2 linked regions of the Arabidopsis thaliana genome follow. The protein of the gene in region 1 interacts with the protein of each later gene in a pairwise test. Each region holds a gene or a part of one and is shown on either strand. Other genes may lie near its edges.

Region 1 (5,266 bases):
GAGTTTGTTGTCATGGCTGCAGATGCTGAGCCTCTAGAGATTCTTCTTCATCTTCCCCTACTTGCTGAGGATAAGGTTTGACTTCTTCTTTCTCTGGGTTTCTCTTTTATTATACACCAGTTTATTTAGCAAATGAGATATTTGTTTCCTTAGTTCATAGAAGAGAATTAAGTTTACTTGCTGAGGATATAGTTTGATTAGTTTGTGCCAATGTTCAGCCAAGTTTTGTATATCATTTTGTTAACTAAACTCTGATTTCATACTTGTTGGAGTTTAAAATGACAGCTTTATGATTGTCTTTTATGATTTTGTTTAGCTTGTATGTTTTTGATTCTGTAATGCTTTGTTGTTCTTATATACTAGTTTTCTATATTCTTACTTTCTTTGTGAATGTTTTGTAGAATGTTCCTTATGTCTTTGTGCCTTCAAAGCAAGCCTTGGGAAGAGCCTGTGGTGTGACTAGACCTGTTATCGCTTGTTCAGTCACATCTAACGAAGCTAGTCAATTGAAATCACAGATTCAACATCTCAAGGTAACTTAGCCCTCACTTGTGTACTCTCTTTATAACCTTGAACCATCATTGATTCCACAGAATTGGTTAATCATTAACTCTTTTTTTACATTTCTTCAGGATGCTATTGAGAAGCTTCTGATCTAAGGCATTCTCTGAATTGATTGCTCGGTATGATGGGTCTCCGCGAATGGGAAGGCTTTGACTGAAGTTTTGTTTAGGCAACTACCAAATCAAAAACCGTCCATTATTCTACTATCTTCTCTTCAAGTTTGTAACGTAATTCACTTTTCTGCAACTTGGTTTCTTAAGAATTTGTGTTGGTTTCTGGTTTTGGTTTGTAGCGAATCATTGTGTTATTTATAAGAACTTGTTTTGATATCTATCACAAAACGAACAAAAAAATTGAAATAAAAATTGAAGGACTTGAATTGAGATTGAATACGAAATCAATTGGTCTGTTGCATTATGCAAAGTCTTACCTTGAATTGAGATCGAGTCACTAGTATCATTTGCAGTCATCATTTCTTCTTGAAGAGGATTATGAACTTGTATATGTAGTAGTAGAGAACTTGAAATATCTAGCATATGACTTTGGAAAAGAAGAAATCAATAATTAATCTGAAGTGGTATATATTACATCAACTACAACACACCCAACACAGAAACAAAGTTACATTGCAGTTTTGTGTAACCTAAGGACTTATGACCGACCAAAGATGATATCCAGAAACATGATCCTATAGTTTCTTCTGCCTTTTTGTGTACATTGATGATAATGTCTTGTTTAATCTGTTAGCTTCTTCTATTGTATAAAAAAGTGGAATAGAGCGAGTGTGCCTCTGTCTCACTCTCTATTTGGCTTCTTGCTCCAACAATGGAATCTTCTTCCATGTCTCATCTAAGCCATTTAACTGTAGAGGCGGCAATGAAAACACACTAACAGTAGAACTTCCACTCCTGATCTCCTTCAAAACCCGCAAGGCAGCGATTGTGCTCTTCATATGAAGACTCTCCATGAACTTATGCTCTGATAACTCTGCTTGGATAATCTCAGACTCAGTTTCGTTAGCAGGGAAGATCTGATCAAGCATTGCCTCAGATTCCTTGACAAGCTTGAACAATAAGTCAGTAGTGTAAAAAGGTTGCTGAAGAACTTTCTGGATGAAAGGTAAACGCATGAGATCACCAGTTCTTTTGTCATACTTCTTCAGTATCTTAACCAATCCTGTTGTTTCAACAAACCATTCATCAACGTTTTGTTCTACTACTAATAATAAGATTAAGTCTTAATGAGGCAATTAAATTAAATTACCAGTGTAATTAAGAGCACTGTAATTCTCAAGAAGAACCATTTCTCCATGGAAATCAACAATCTCCTTCCTGATTTTTATCATCTTCTCCATTGAATCCTTAGCTTTCGCAATTCTATCTCTAAATTCCTGTTTTTGTACAGACAGAGACACATTAGAAAAAGAGATGATCATTTTTAGGAATCGGATTCGAAATGTTGTTTATATTACCTTTAGTCTGATGATATATTCTTCTTCCTTCTCAACGAAGAAATTGTTGAATTTCTCCAACTCGTCTTCTAACAATTGGATGAAATTGATCTCTTCTTTCGATATTCCGACGGAAAACTCATCTAAACGGAGTCGTTTAACGGGACGATCGGCGGTTTTGGAACCGATGAGTTTGAGTCGTTTTTTGAGTTCTTTGTAAGACAAGAACTTGTCTTGCCATTCAGGAAGAGTTTGCTCGATCTGATTGCTGAGACTCTTACCAAACTTCATAGCTCTTTTATTTTCTGGGAAACTTAAGTGAGAATGATGAATGAAGAAGAAAGAGAGGGGGAAGAGGTTTAGAGATATAAAAGGGATTAAAAAGAATATTCTTAAGGTTTCTAATTAGAATATCCTTTTTTCTCTGTCTTTCTTTCGGGAGAATATCTTCCTTTTATTCCTTTCTTATTTATTACTTTTTCGTGGTTATCTGTGGGTGAGATTATAACACATGCCTATGTCAGTTCATAAATATCAATCACAACTCACATGCCAATTTATTTATCCAATACTTATTATTACAGATTTGCTGTCCAAAAAAAGAAAAATAATATTACAGATTTTATATCCATTTATCTGATTCATTTTTTTCTAAATTCGTATGGGTATCGTACTAATATCTTGATTCATTTTCTTTAGAGTTTGTACTGTATTCATCTGATATTTAAATATTTTACGATATTAGATTTCCTTATTTGGTATTGTCTATATATGTTCATGATATCTTCATAACTATGTACAGTATGTATTAAATCATCTTTTTAAAAATATATGTCTATTTATACATGCAGATACACTATGTAGTAGTGATTTTTTATTTTTTTTGCATTTTTAGATTTAATCAAAAACGAATTGCAAAGTAAAAAAAATGAATATTGGATATAGTATTTACAGTTACAGATATCCTCAAATCCAGCTCAGATTGTCGTCATGACATAAATACGTGGACGTTTGGTCTTCATGATCATATCTGTCTCTCCATGATGATGGCATGATCAATAAATAGTAGTTCAATACTACAACTAGTTTGACAATTTACCCACTTTTGATTTTCTGAAAAGATTTAACAAATACGCAAATGGGTCAAAAGTAGTTGGATTCCATGGAATATTCTTGATAGGAAAAGGGTATAAACCTCGGCATCTTTCAATCTTTCTTTAAAGCACCCCCCAATGGACAATTTATTGAATTTTCCCGATTCGCGTCTTAATTCATTCACATTTGCTCATTATTAGCTTCTGATTTTGACATTTAGGATAAACCACCGGTCCATTTGACATTGTCTATATGCAGCAAATTCTGCTGATTTTACAACTTGTCAATTTATATTTATTAAGAAGACTATCAGTTTATTAGTCAAACAACCAAAGTCCAAATCCTTATGACATGGTCGTCGTATTCTTTACAATCTTTGACGGATAAACTAAAACAATATTTACTTTGCCGTATAATCGAAACTTTCGTGTCTCTGTCTCATTTCTGGGTACGTATGTAATTAATGTATGCAAGCAAAGTAATCCATTGTTGGAGTTAAGTTCCCTCCAGTAGCCCAAATGGAATGGGCCTCGTTAAGTCAAAGTTCCATAATGAAAAAAGCCTAAAGAGTGAAAAAAAAATCTGAATTTTAACCGAAACAAATTTAGTTTGGTTCGTAAATAAAACCAGAACCAAACCGAACCGACAGTACCAAAAAAGAACCGATTGTTAAATGAAAGCGAACAACCACAAGAAATAAAATAGAGCAGAAAACTTTTTTATCAACGATCAATGGCTACCGTTAATCAGCAGCTTTACCGGCCAATACTCACCGCCGTCGGAAGTGACTGCCGGCGGCATGTAACCACCCGTTTCCTCCCTGTTCCGAGACGCAACGTAACCACTCGTCTACGGCCAATTTTGAGTCTTGAGGTGGGCAAGGAAGTGGCTTCAGCACCGTCGACAGTGAACATGGAAGAGCTCGTCGGATTCTTGTACGAGGATCTTCCTCACCTTTTCGACGACCAAGGAATCGATAAAACGGCGTACGATGAGCGCGTGAAGTTCAGAGACCCAATCACTAAGCACGACACCATCTCTGGCTATCTCTTCAACATTGCTTTCCTCAAGAATATCTTCACTCCTCAGTTTCAGCTTCACTGGGCTAAACAGGTCTTTGCTAACTTTTGTTTATCATTTGATTTCTTTAATTCTAGTTTTTTTTAAGTTCACTGATGCAGCTGATATATAGACAGGTCCATATGAGATCACTACGAGATGGACAATGGTGATGAAGTTCATACCTTTACCATGGAAACCAGAACTTGTCTTCACTGGATTATCAATCATGGAAGTTAATCCTGAAACTAACAAATTTTGTAGTCATCTGGTATGTATGGTTGCCATGTCCTTCTTCCAAAATCTATTGTGGTATGGTCTACTTATTACAAGTAGATGTTGTGCAGGACTTGTGGGATTCTATCAAGAACAATGACTACTTTTCTCTTGAAGGTCTTGTTGATGTTTTTAAGCAGGTTGCTTTCTTGGCATTTGGCATGAATTGAGCCCCCTTAGAAATGGTTAATCATATCTTACAAGTACTACCTTTTTTTGCAGTTACGGATATATAAAACGCCAGACTTGGAAACTCCAAAGTATCAAATACTGAAAAGAACAGCAAACTATGAGGTCACATATCTTCATGTATTGGCTTAATGGAACCAACTATGCAAATGTGGTTGCTTGCCTTAAGTTGGATTTGATTGTTTGGCAGGTTAGAAACTATGAGCCCTTCATTGTGGTGGAGACAATTGGTGACAAGCTTTCTGGTTCTTCAGGTTTCAACAATGTTGCTGGGTGAGGGTTAAGTCTAAGTTTCTGTGAGTGTCCATAAATTCTTCTGGCATCTTGTTTTATTTTGATAAATGTAACACATGCTAGCTTTTTTACCTATGAAGCTACATATTTGGAAAGAACTCGACCATGGAGAAAATACCAATGACAACTCCAGTGTTTACTCAAACAACAGATACTCAACTCTCTTCTGATGTCTCTGTACAAATTGTTATTCCATCAGGAAAAGATCTTAGCAGGTAAAGCCTTATCATGGATAGTTTTTTAGTTGACATCAGATATGGTTAATGAGAATCATTGTGTGATGAGAATGGTTTTGCTTTCCTTTTTCCTCTAGCTTACCAATGCCTAATGAAGAAAAGG
Region 2 (8,198 bases), on another chromosome or scaffold:
ACATGAAATCATCATACAATCCAACACTTGAGAACAAGTGGCACATACACAGAAACTAATATGGGACGTTATTGGGCAAGTTTCTTATGACATTACTCTTCACTCCGATCTTGGTACGCATTGTCTCGCCTCTCTTGCTCATCTCCTTGCGCACTTTCATCCTCAAAGTCTCCTCTTTCGACGGTACTGTCTTCAGACCCAGGCTCTTGTACCTGAGAATTTACCATTTGTTGGAATAACCTTAGTTTACCTTGCCGATTATCTGATTGGATAGACTCGGATGATTAACGGGTTTGGAGAAAACAAACCTTGAAGATAAAGAGGCAATTATCTGGTTGCTGTCTTGAGAAGTTGGGCGTGGCTTCTGTCTGTAGTAACGCATGAATTCACGGGACCCGAGAGTTTTAGACGTTGTTGTGTTCTCGGACTTCTCCGTGATCAAGAGCTCAGAACCACCAACGAGTTCTACAGTATTGTCTGTTTCACCAGATACAACAATTTGCTTTCCAGCTTCATCAACATAGCTGCTCAATTCATATATTCCAAAGAAAGGTGCGGATTAAGATTTGGCATAGAACGAGGAATACAGGCGAGAACAAGAATAATCAGAGATAGAAGAGAGTTGAAACCTGCTGCTGTAGTCATAAAACTCTTCTAGCTCAGCATCTTCTTCATCATCACCATCACCATAATGCAGTTTGCAATGACTCTTTGCTTCCATATGTTTTCTTACAGCTTCTAAGCTGCTGAATGGACGGCACAGCTCATTGCAGTACAGACACATGAAGTCTCTCTTGACCTAAATGATGAGCAATGTATAAGTAAACAGGAGTAAGAATTTCAAAGCTTGACAACAACGAACACTGAATGGTAAATTGATGAGTCCAAACCTTAAGACCAAGGTAAGTGAGAAGCCCTTCAGGATCCTTGAGATACTCAATATCGGGAATAAAGAAACCATGATGCTTATGCATGTGAAGCATACAGCTCTCTAAGGTCTTATGTTTTTTGTCACACATCAAACAGCAGGTTGGATCCAGCTCATACTTATCTGCATCACCATCATCATCCATATCTTCAGCAGATCCAGACTCATTCACATTCAACTTAGACAAAGAATCAGAGGCTTCTTCAGCAGCCAATTCCTCGTCAGAATCAACCTCCACCCATTCATCTTCACTATCATCATCAATGGAACCCCTGTGTTGAACACGGCGAGGAAGTTGCCTGATAATCGCTATATCCTCCTCTCCGTTGATTGATGTCCCTTGTGAAACCCGCAAAACATGGCTACGCGACTGAAGATGCTGCTCATGAGCCTTGGAACTCCTGTAACCTTTAGCACAGATTGCACAAGTATAAAGCATAGGTGCTTCATTTGATTTATTCTTCTCCTGAGCAAGAGCAGATTGTCTAGCCTCAAACAAGGCTTCTGTAACTCCAGGAACTCCAGCCACCTAACATAAAAAATTACAGAAATACAAAGATTCAAATGCCTAGAAGTAACCAAATCTATGATTATTGAAATCCTTGTTCCTTAGTAGAATAAGCTTCAAAACAAATTTTCATATAAACTCTACGATTCCATAACCTTAACTAAACAATTTCGATAGCAAAATGGAAAAGCTGTTTCTCAGAAACTTTCATCTCATCACCGACGCAAGATTTTCCCGAGAAACAGATAGGCTTGAGTTCAAATTCGATAGAGAAAGCAGAAGAAATGAAACCTTGCGCTTGAGATTGTAGCGGTGCCAATCGGATTTGTAATGAAGGTTACGTTCTTCTTCGTCCTTGAACTCCATGTTACACGCGTTACATGTTAAACCAGGCATCTTCTCTCCTTCAATATCGATCGATTCTAGAAATGGAAACTGGAGAAGAAAAGAAAATCAGAGAAAAGATAGTTGGGAGGATAAGATTTGTTGTTGATATGTGTAGAGCAACGACGGCTCGTAAATGGATCGGCGATCGTGTTTGTCTCTAAAAAAGCGTCGATTGATGATGATTGATTGCCATCAAAATGAAAAGGAAGGCGCCCCGCCCATTTTAGATCCGATCGGGTTGGAACTGACCCGTTCCTGACCCGATACAAGAGTAGCCCATTTGGCCCATTCTTTTAGCCTTTTTGTAACACTGACACAGTTGACGAATTAAGTATTACTGTATGAGTAACCAAAAAACATTTTTCTAATATTGTTTTTAAAATAACTACTTACAACTTGATTAATTACTTCGTTTAATCATGTAACTTTTTTTTCTTCCAAATTCTAATCTCTCTATTAAATTACTGCATTTATAAGATCTAAACATCATGTGATATGTTCAAAATATGAAAAGAGAAGAATATAATACATGATTTTACTACGATTAATTTTTTTTAATCGCAATGTTTTGTTTTTGCCTAATTTTATTAGTGGAAGAAATTTTAACCGCAGGCCTGTAATTTAGGAAACTAACTATTCACCCCCAATTAAAAAAAAAAACAAGAAGACGACAAATAACGAGAAATTACCAATTTTTCCTCAACACTTTCATTATTTCCTACAACGAACTTCTCCCTCCTCCTCTCACTTTCACCATGGATTCCGTCTCCGGTTACGCCGCCGGAGCAGGTCAGCCTCGAGTCGGTGGGAAAATTGTTCGACCACGACGCACCGCTGTTGTCAGGACGCCGTGTGAGCGCCCCGTTCAGAGATCCCGAGATCCTCCTCAGCAAAACCCTAGTTGGATCTCCAGGCTCGTTTACAAACCCGCCAGCGTAATTGCTTCCGGCGCCGGAAAATTCATTTCTTCCGTCGTCTTCTCCGACTCTTCCTCATCTTCGGAGGAGGACGAGGATTCATCTTCAGGTTTGTACCATTTATTTCAGTTTAGATAGGATTAATTTGAATTTTTGGTTTATTGTCTGGTCGAATCTGAAAGCTACCGTTTCGTTTGAAATGTGAAGTTTGACTTAAAGCTTTCCCATTTTCTCTTTCCTTTAATATGTGGGACTTAAGAGCAGTTAAGCATTGTTGTACTCTATTTAGTTAGGTTACTTCTAAGCTATAAACTTCATACTAATTCTAAAGCTCTAATTTTTATTCATATAATGTAGTTCTGGGATTGAGAATACCAACCAGCTTTGTTGTGTCTTATTCTTTTAATGTATGGATTTTTATATGTTTTCTTCTTTGTTTGCAGATATTGATGGTGATGAGGATGTTGAGAAGAACAATCCCGATTTTACTGAAGAGGTACTAACCACCTTGTTCGTTTTGGTGATTGCTATGCCACTGTAGTCCTATGATAATTGTTTGAAGTAAAGTTCGTGAAGCTAACACGTTTTCAACTGAGAGTTTTTTTTATAAAAGCATAATTTCAGTTTTTGTGCTTGTGTGAATAGGACCTTCTGAGTGCCCAGCAACCAAGCATTCAACGACTCAGTTCTAAGCGTGTAATTGAGCAGCTTCTCTTGCAAGAAACATTTGCAAGGTATTTCTCTGCCTGGCTTTTTGGACATCATAAGTAGCAGCCTCCTCGACTATTCTTATTATTTACACCTCATAGCTTAAAGAATCTTTCTGAGACGTGTGTAGTTACCAAATCTAAGCTGATCTTGTATCCTGCTTATTCATTCATGTGTATGTTGTTTCAGGGAAGAGGGTGATAGGTTAATAGATATCATCAAGGCTAGGGTTGTAGATCATCCCAGCGTCCCCTCTGCTATTGAGACGAGTCATGATGACTATGGATTGACAAGCGGTATGTTACTGATGGTAGACTGTGCAAGTAGACCGGATTAGTCTATGTGATAACGTCTTCTTTTCTATTTTATTTCTAGACGTGAATGTGGGTGAAATGTCCAATACAGCTGTCATGGAAGCAAGAAAATGGTTGGAGGAGAAGAAATCAGGATCAAGTTCAAAGTATAAAGTAAGTTCTGGAAACTTGCTTCTTAACTGTTCTAATTGCTGCAGCCTGCAGGTATCAACTTTTTTGTGATATCTTGTCTCCGTGCTCTAAGCCATTATTATTATAGAAGGAGACATCTTCTGTTTGGGTAAAATGATTTGATTGTTATATGCCAATCCATGTGATCAGCAACTTAAAGCTCTCTTGCAAAAGTAGGTTGTTCAGAATTCTGCGTGTGGCCATCTGGTGACGTTAATTCTGAAATGTCCTGATTGGGAAATACCTTTTTGTCCGCTTAAAATGCAAAAGATCCATATTGTTGCTCTTCTTTTGACTATGAAGACCATTTACTTACATGATTTTGGTCAACTTCTGATAGCTTCGCTTCACAGTATTCTTTTTCCATTGTACTTTAAATGATGATCACCATCTCAGCCATTAGTTTAAATCTCCAGGCAACTGAAGATGGTGCTGGATCGCCTGTGGACGTGGCCAAGTCTTATATGCGAGCTCGTCTGCCATGGGGATCTCCAGCTGCGAATAATTTAGATTTTCGATCACCATCATCAGCAAGAGTGCAAGGGACACCCCTTCCTTATAGCGCTGGAAACTTTTCCTCATCCAAGGTTAGAATTTTAAGTTCTCCAGCAGTGCATACTTTTCTTTTGGTCAAATGTTGTTTGAAAGTCTGAAGTCGTTTCATCTTGGTTTATGAGATAAAATTCTCTGCTTAACTTCTATTGTTTATGTTAGATAACCACGAGGAATTTGTGGGACACTATTTCCAGCTATTCCTAAAGAAAAGTTGCATACCGTTATATGTATTTTCAATGGCTCTCTCAAATTTACCCTTATTCATTCTGACATTGGTTACCAAATGCAGCTGAAAAGGAAGTCCGGTTCTAATCAGTCATGGAATATTCAAGATGAAATTCGCAAAGTCAGAGCTAAAGCAACCGAGGAAATGCTTAAAAGTCCCAGTAGTGTAGCCTCTTTGGAACCTAAATACAGCCCCTATGTTTTAGCGACTGATATGCTCAAAGGAAATGCTTCGTCTTTGAATGCTGATGGAGGTGTTTTTTTTCTTTCTTTATTCACACGTGGAAGAAGTTTTTCAGTAAGACATGAGTTGAAACTGAAATTAACTCTTCTTTTCTGTTCTTTCAGCTGTACGGAATGAACAAAGCAGAGCTCTACCAAATTCAGCCATACCTACCTCTGAGCACAATCAGGTATCAAGCACTCTTTACACTATGTGTCTCTCATTACCAAGAAAAAACTTGCAGTTCCAATCTTTCTTGTTTTGGTGTCCTTGTGTGTTTTACTTGAGTGAAGACTACGGAAGCTAATCAAGCCGTCAAAGAAACAGGAGTTTTACACACTAGATCTCGTTAGTTTCTCCCTTAATCCTTAATTTGTATACACTCTCTCATCTTCGCTTTTTATACTCTGTCTCATGGATTTAATGTGTTCTGATTAGGTGGAGTTGGTTTGGAGGAGACATTTATCTCCACACAAGGAGTCAAGCCATCTGAAGATACGAATACCGCTCCTCAAAGGTTCTTTTTATTGTGCTTATCCTTCCAACACAGATTGTACCTTGTTTCTTTTTGACAGATATGTTTTTTAGTATATCAATCTTCTGAAGTTTTTCAACTGTATGCGACAGTGGAACTGCTGTAGATGACTTCAATGATCAAGATGGCGATTTTATCCAACCTACTTCTACTATCGGAAACACCACAAATGGTATACATTGGATGTTGAATTCCTTTGGTTCTGATTTTTAGTTGGGTTCTCTTAATTTACTTGCGCTCCTATTGATGCAGCTGTCTTGGCTCTTGGGGCAACTTTGGATCCTACTGGGAACTCTTGCATCCCTAAAGATGTGTTTGAAACATCAAAAGAAGCTGATGAAATAGGCGCATCACGTCATACTTCTAACGGTTTCCCATCTTCATCACCTAGGTGAAAAGCAACTCCTTTGTCTGGCTAGTTTGACATGATGACATTATTTCCTCCTAAGCAAAGCCTTACTTTTTCAGTTCACCAGCGGTTATGGAAGGTCAACCAAAACCCACACCACCAGAAGAAACCAAGGCTTCTCAGCCTATAGCTGAAATTCATGGTGATGATATGACAGTAGGGAATGGCTCAGATGGTGCAATTAATAACGAAAGCAATGACAGCCACTCAAGTGCCTCTAACAGTTCAAGCACCCATGAAGAAGAGTGGCTCCCAGGAGACCAGTCTCTACCTAACTCAAACTCAGCAAGTAGCAGCCCGGGAAATACCAAGGTCTTGGCATACAGCAGAAGAGGAAGAGGCCGAGGTAGAGGAAGAGGCAGAGGAGGTCGAGGCAAAGGACGGGCCAAATAAACTTTGTAAGATGAGCTGTACACAACAAACACAATGCAGTAGGAGAGTATTATGATGAGGTAGGATTATGTGACATCTCTTTTAGATTTGAATCCCACTCTGTTTGTGTTTGGTCTTTGGTCACTTCGTTATCTTTTTAGGTTATCTTGTAGTATTTGAGTTAGGAGGATTTGTCTTGTCGAGTTATGTGGAATTGTGTCTCTGTTGTTTCTTTCATTTGTCTGAAATCTCTAATGTTTAATGTTGTAAGTTTGAAGCTTGGTTTCGTTCCAGCTGACGAAGCTTTGTAGTTTGCAGTTTCCATATGTTGAAACTCTTTTTCTTTTGTTCGATGCCAAATTTTTAAATCTTTTTTACTTGACCAAAAAGCCAACACCTAATTTTTTTGGGGGAAATCTCAAGTACTAACACCACTCATCTTTTAACCTCGTAAAGTGTCAAGTAAACAAATTCTGACATGATCCAATATTAGATGAGATCACTCAGATCAAAACATTGTAAGATGAATATAATCAAATGGGTTCAATCTAGTGTTACACAATCTCTTACCAAAGTACAAAAGCAATAACGAGCGAAAAGAAGAAACCCAATAACCAATTTTATCAAGACAGACAGAAAGAGAGAGAGAAAAAACAAAACAGACAGAAACAAAAGTGAAGAAAAACGAACAACAAAAACCCAATAAGCAGCGATCGAAGCTAAAATAAACACAGAAGAGCGAAAGCGCTCAGACATTCAAATCTGAAAAGCCATACGAAAGAAGAAGCCACGAAGATTCAATCGAAGCAGAAGTGTATTATTAAGAAGCCGAGAAATCATTGGGTTGGTGTCGGAACTCGGAAGTTACTTGTTTTGTTCCGATTTTTCTTTTGTCTGAATTCTTTCTGGTCAAATCTTCCAACACTTGTTCTTCTGCTTACAAGCTTGGGTCCCGCTTCTCATTGCCCGCTTCCTCCTTCTTCAATTCGAATTTCATCATTCTTTAGGCAATTCGAATCTGTTGCTCTGTTCTCAAAGCTCCAATCATTTGTTCAACTCAACTGATCTCGATTTGCTCCAACTCAAATTTCGGGAATTCTCAAAGTTCTTAGCTTCCGAATTGGGCGTGAAACAAAAAATGCGGGGTTTTTCTGCTCTGATTCAGTTTCGTCTTCTTACTCGCTCGTGAACTTGGAGAAACGGTTAGTTGGATTGATTCTTCCTTCTTGATGGATTGATTTGCTAATTCCAAGCTAGGGTTTGTAATATACTCTGATTCTGAAACAGCCGAGGTTGAATTTCAAAGCTGGCTAGTAGATAATGATCTCTAGGGTTTGGGTTTTTGGGGAGATGAGATTGGAGTGGCCTGTACTAAAAAGCTTCAGCTGAGTTCTTGAAATGCTTCTGGATTTGAGTTTGAGAATAAATACGTTGATGAGTTGGGTTTGTTTGTGTGAAGGATAACTAGAAGCTGAGAGGGTGCATTTTGTGCACTCCTCTGACTGTTTCACTTAGTTTCGGTTTAGAAGAAGAAGCCAGAAAGAAGTATGCAACGTCTTCAAGATCCCAGGATTGATCTAGCTGAGCTAAAAGTGCATATAGTGAAGAAGGTTGGGGTTGAAAGATCTACAAGGTATTTTTACTACTTGGGCAGGTTTCTGAGTCAGAAGCTTACTAAGAGTGAGTTTGATAAGTCATGTTTCCGTCTTTTGGGGAGAGAGAATCTTTCTCTTCACAATAAGTTGATTCGTTCCATCTTGAGAAATGCATCTCTGGCTAAGTCCCCACCATCAGTTCACCAATCCGGTCACCCTGGCAAATCTTTGGTGCTTGGGAAAGAAGATGGACCTGAAGAAAGCAGATCTCTAAACCCTGACCATATTAGGAATGATCTTGCTTTGTCCAATGGGGTGTTAGCCAAGGTTAGGCCTGGAACATGTGACGAC

What was found. Proteins that work in one complex are often made in the same cells at the same time.
Region 2: the proteins of SPX1 (region 1) and AT4G31430 interact in a two-hybrid assay, tested with the Arabidopsis thaliana proteins (one large-scale study listed by BioGRID).

Annotation. Positions count from the first base shown.
Region 1 is NC_003076.8:6,799,468-6,804,733, reverse strand, and holds SPX1 (SPX domain-containing protein 1), read right to left. Parts: upstream 2,453-5,266; 5' UTR 2,306-2,452; coding exon 2,036-2,305; intron 1,955-2,035; coding exon 1,828-1,954; intron 1,741-1,827; coding exon 1,367-1,740; 3' UTR 1,079-1,366; downstream 1-1,078. Other genes in the region: AT5G20160 (Ribosomal protein L7Ae/L30e/S12e/Gadd45 family protein), read left to right, coding at 1-75, 402-533, 633-659; HBP5 (SOUL heme-binding family protein), read left to right, coding at 3,842-4,222, 4,302-4,439, 4,516-4,584, 4,667-4,738, 4,824-4,906, 5,008-5,142, 5,241-5,266. UniProt on the Arabidopsis thaliana protein: Plays a positive role in plant adaptation to phosphate starvation. Inhibits PHR1 DNA-binding activity in a Pi-dependent manner.
Region 2 is NC_003075.7:15,245,932-15,254,129, forward strand, and holds AT4G31430 (flocculation protein), read left to right. Parts: upstream 1-2,445; 5' UTR 2,446-2,578; coding exon 2,579-2,849; intron 2,850-3,183; coding exon 3,184-3,236; intron 3,237-3,385; coding exon 3,386-3,474; intron 3,475-3,637; coding exon 3,638-3,744; intron 3,745-3,823; coding exon 3,824-3,915; intron 3,916-4,349; coding exon 4,350-4,520; intron 4,521-4,777; coding exon 4,778-4,967; intron 4,968-5,061; coding exon 5,062-5,126; intron 5,127-5,229; coding exon 5,230-5,284; intron 5,285-5,374; coding exon 5,375-5,453; intron 5,454-5,563; coding exon 5,564-5,643; intron 5,644-5,723; coding exon 5,724-5,862; intron 5,863-5,939; coding exon 5,940-6,273; 3' UTR 6,274-6,628; downstream 6,629-8,198. Other genes in the region: AT4G31420 (Zinc finger protein 622), read right to left, coding at 56-212, 309-527, 630-799, 891-1,457, 1,728-1,832; AT4G31440 (transcriptional regulator of RNA polII, SAGA, subunit), read left to right, coding at 7,800-8,198.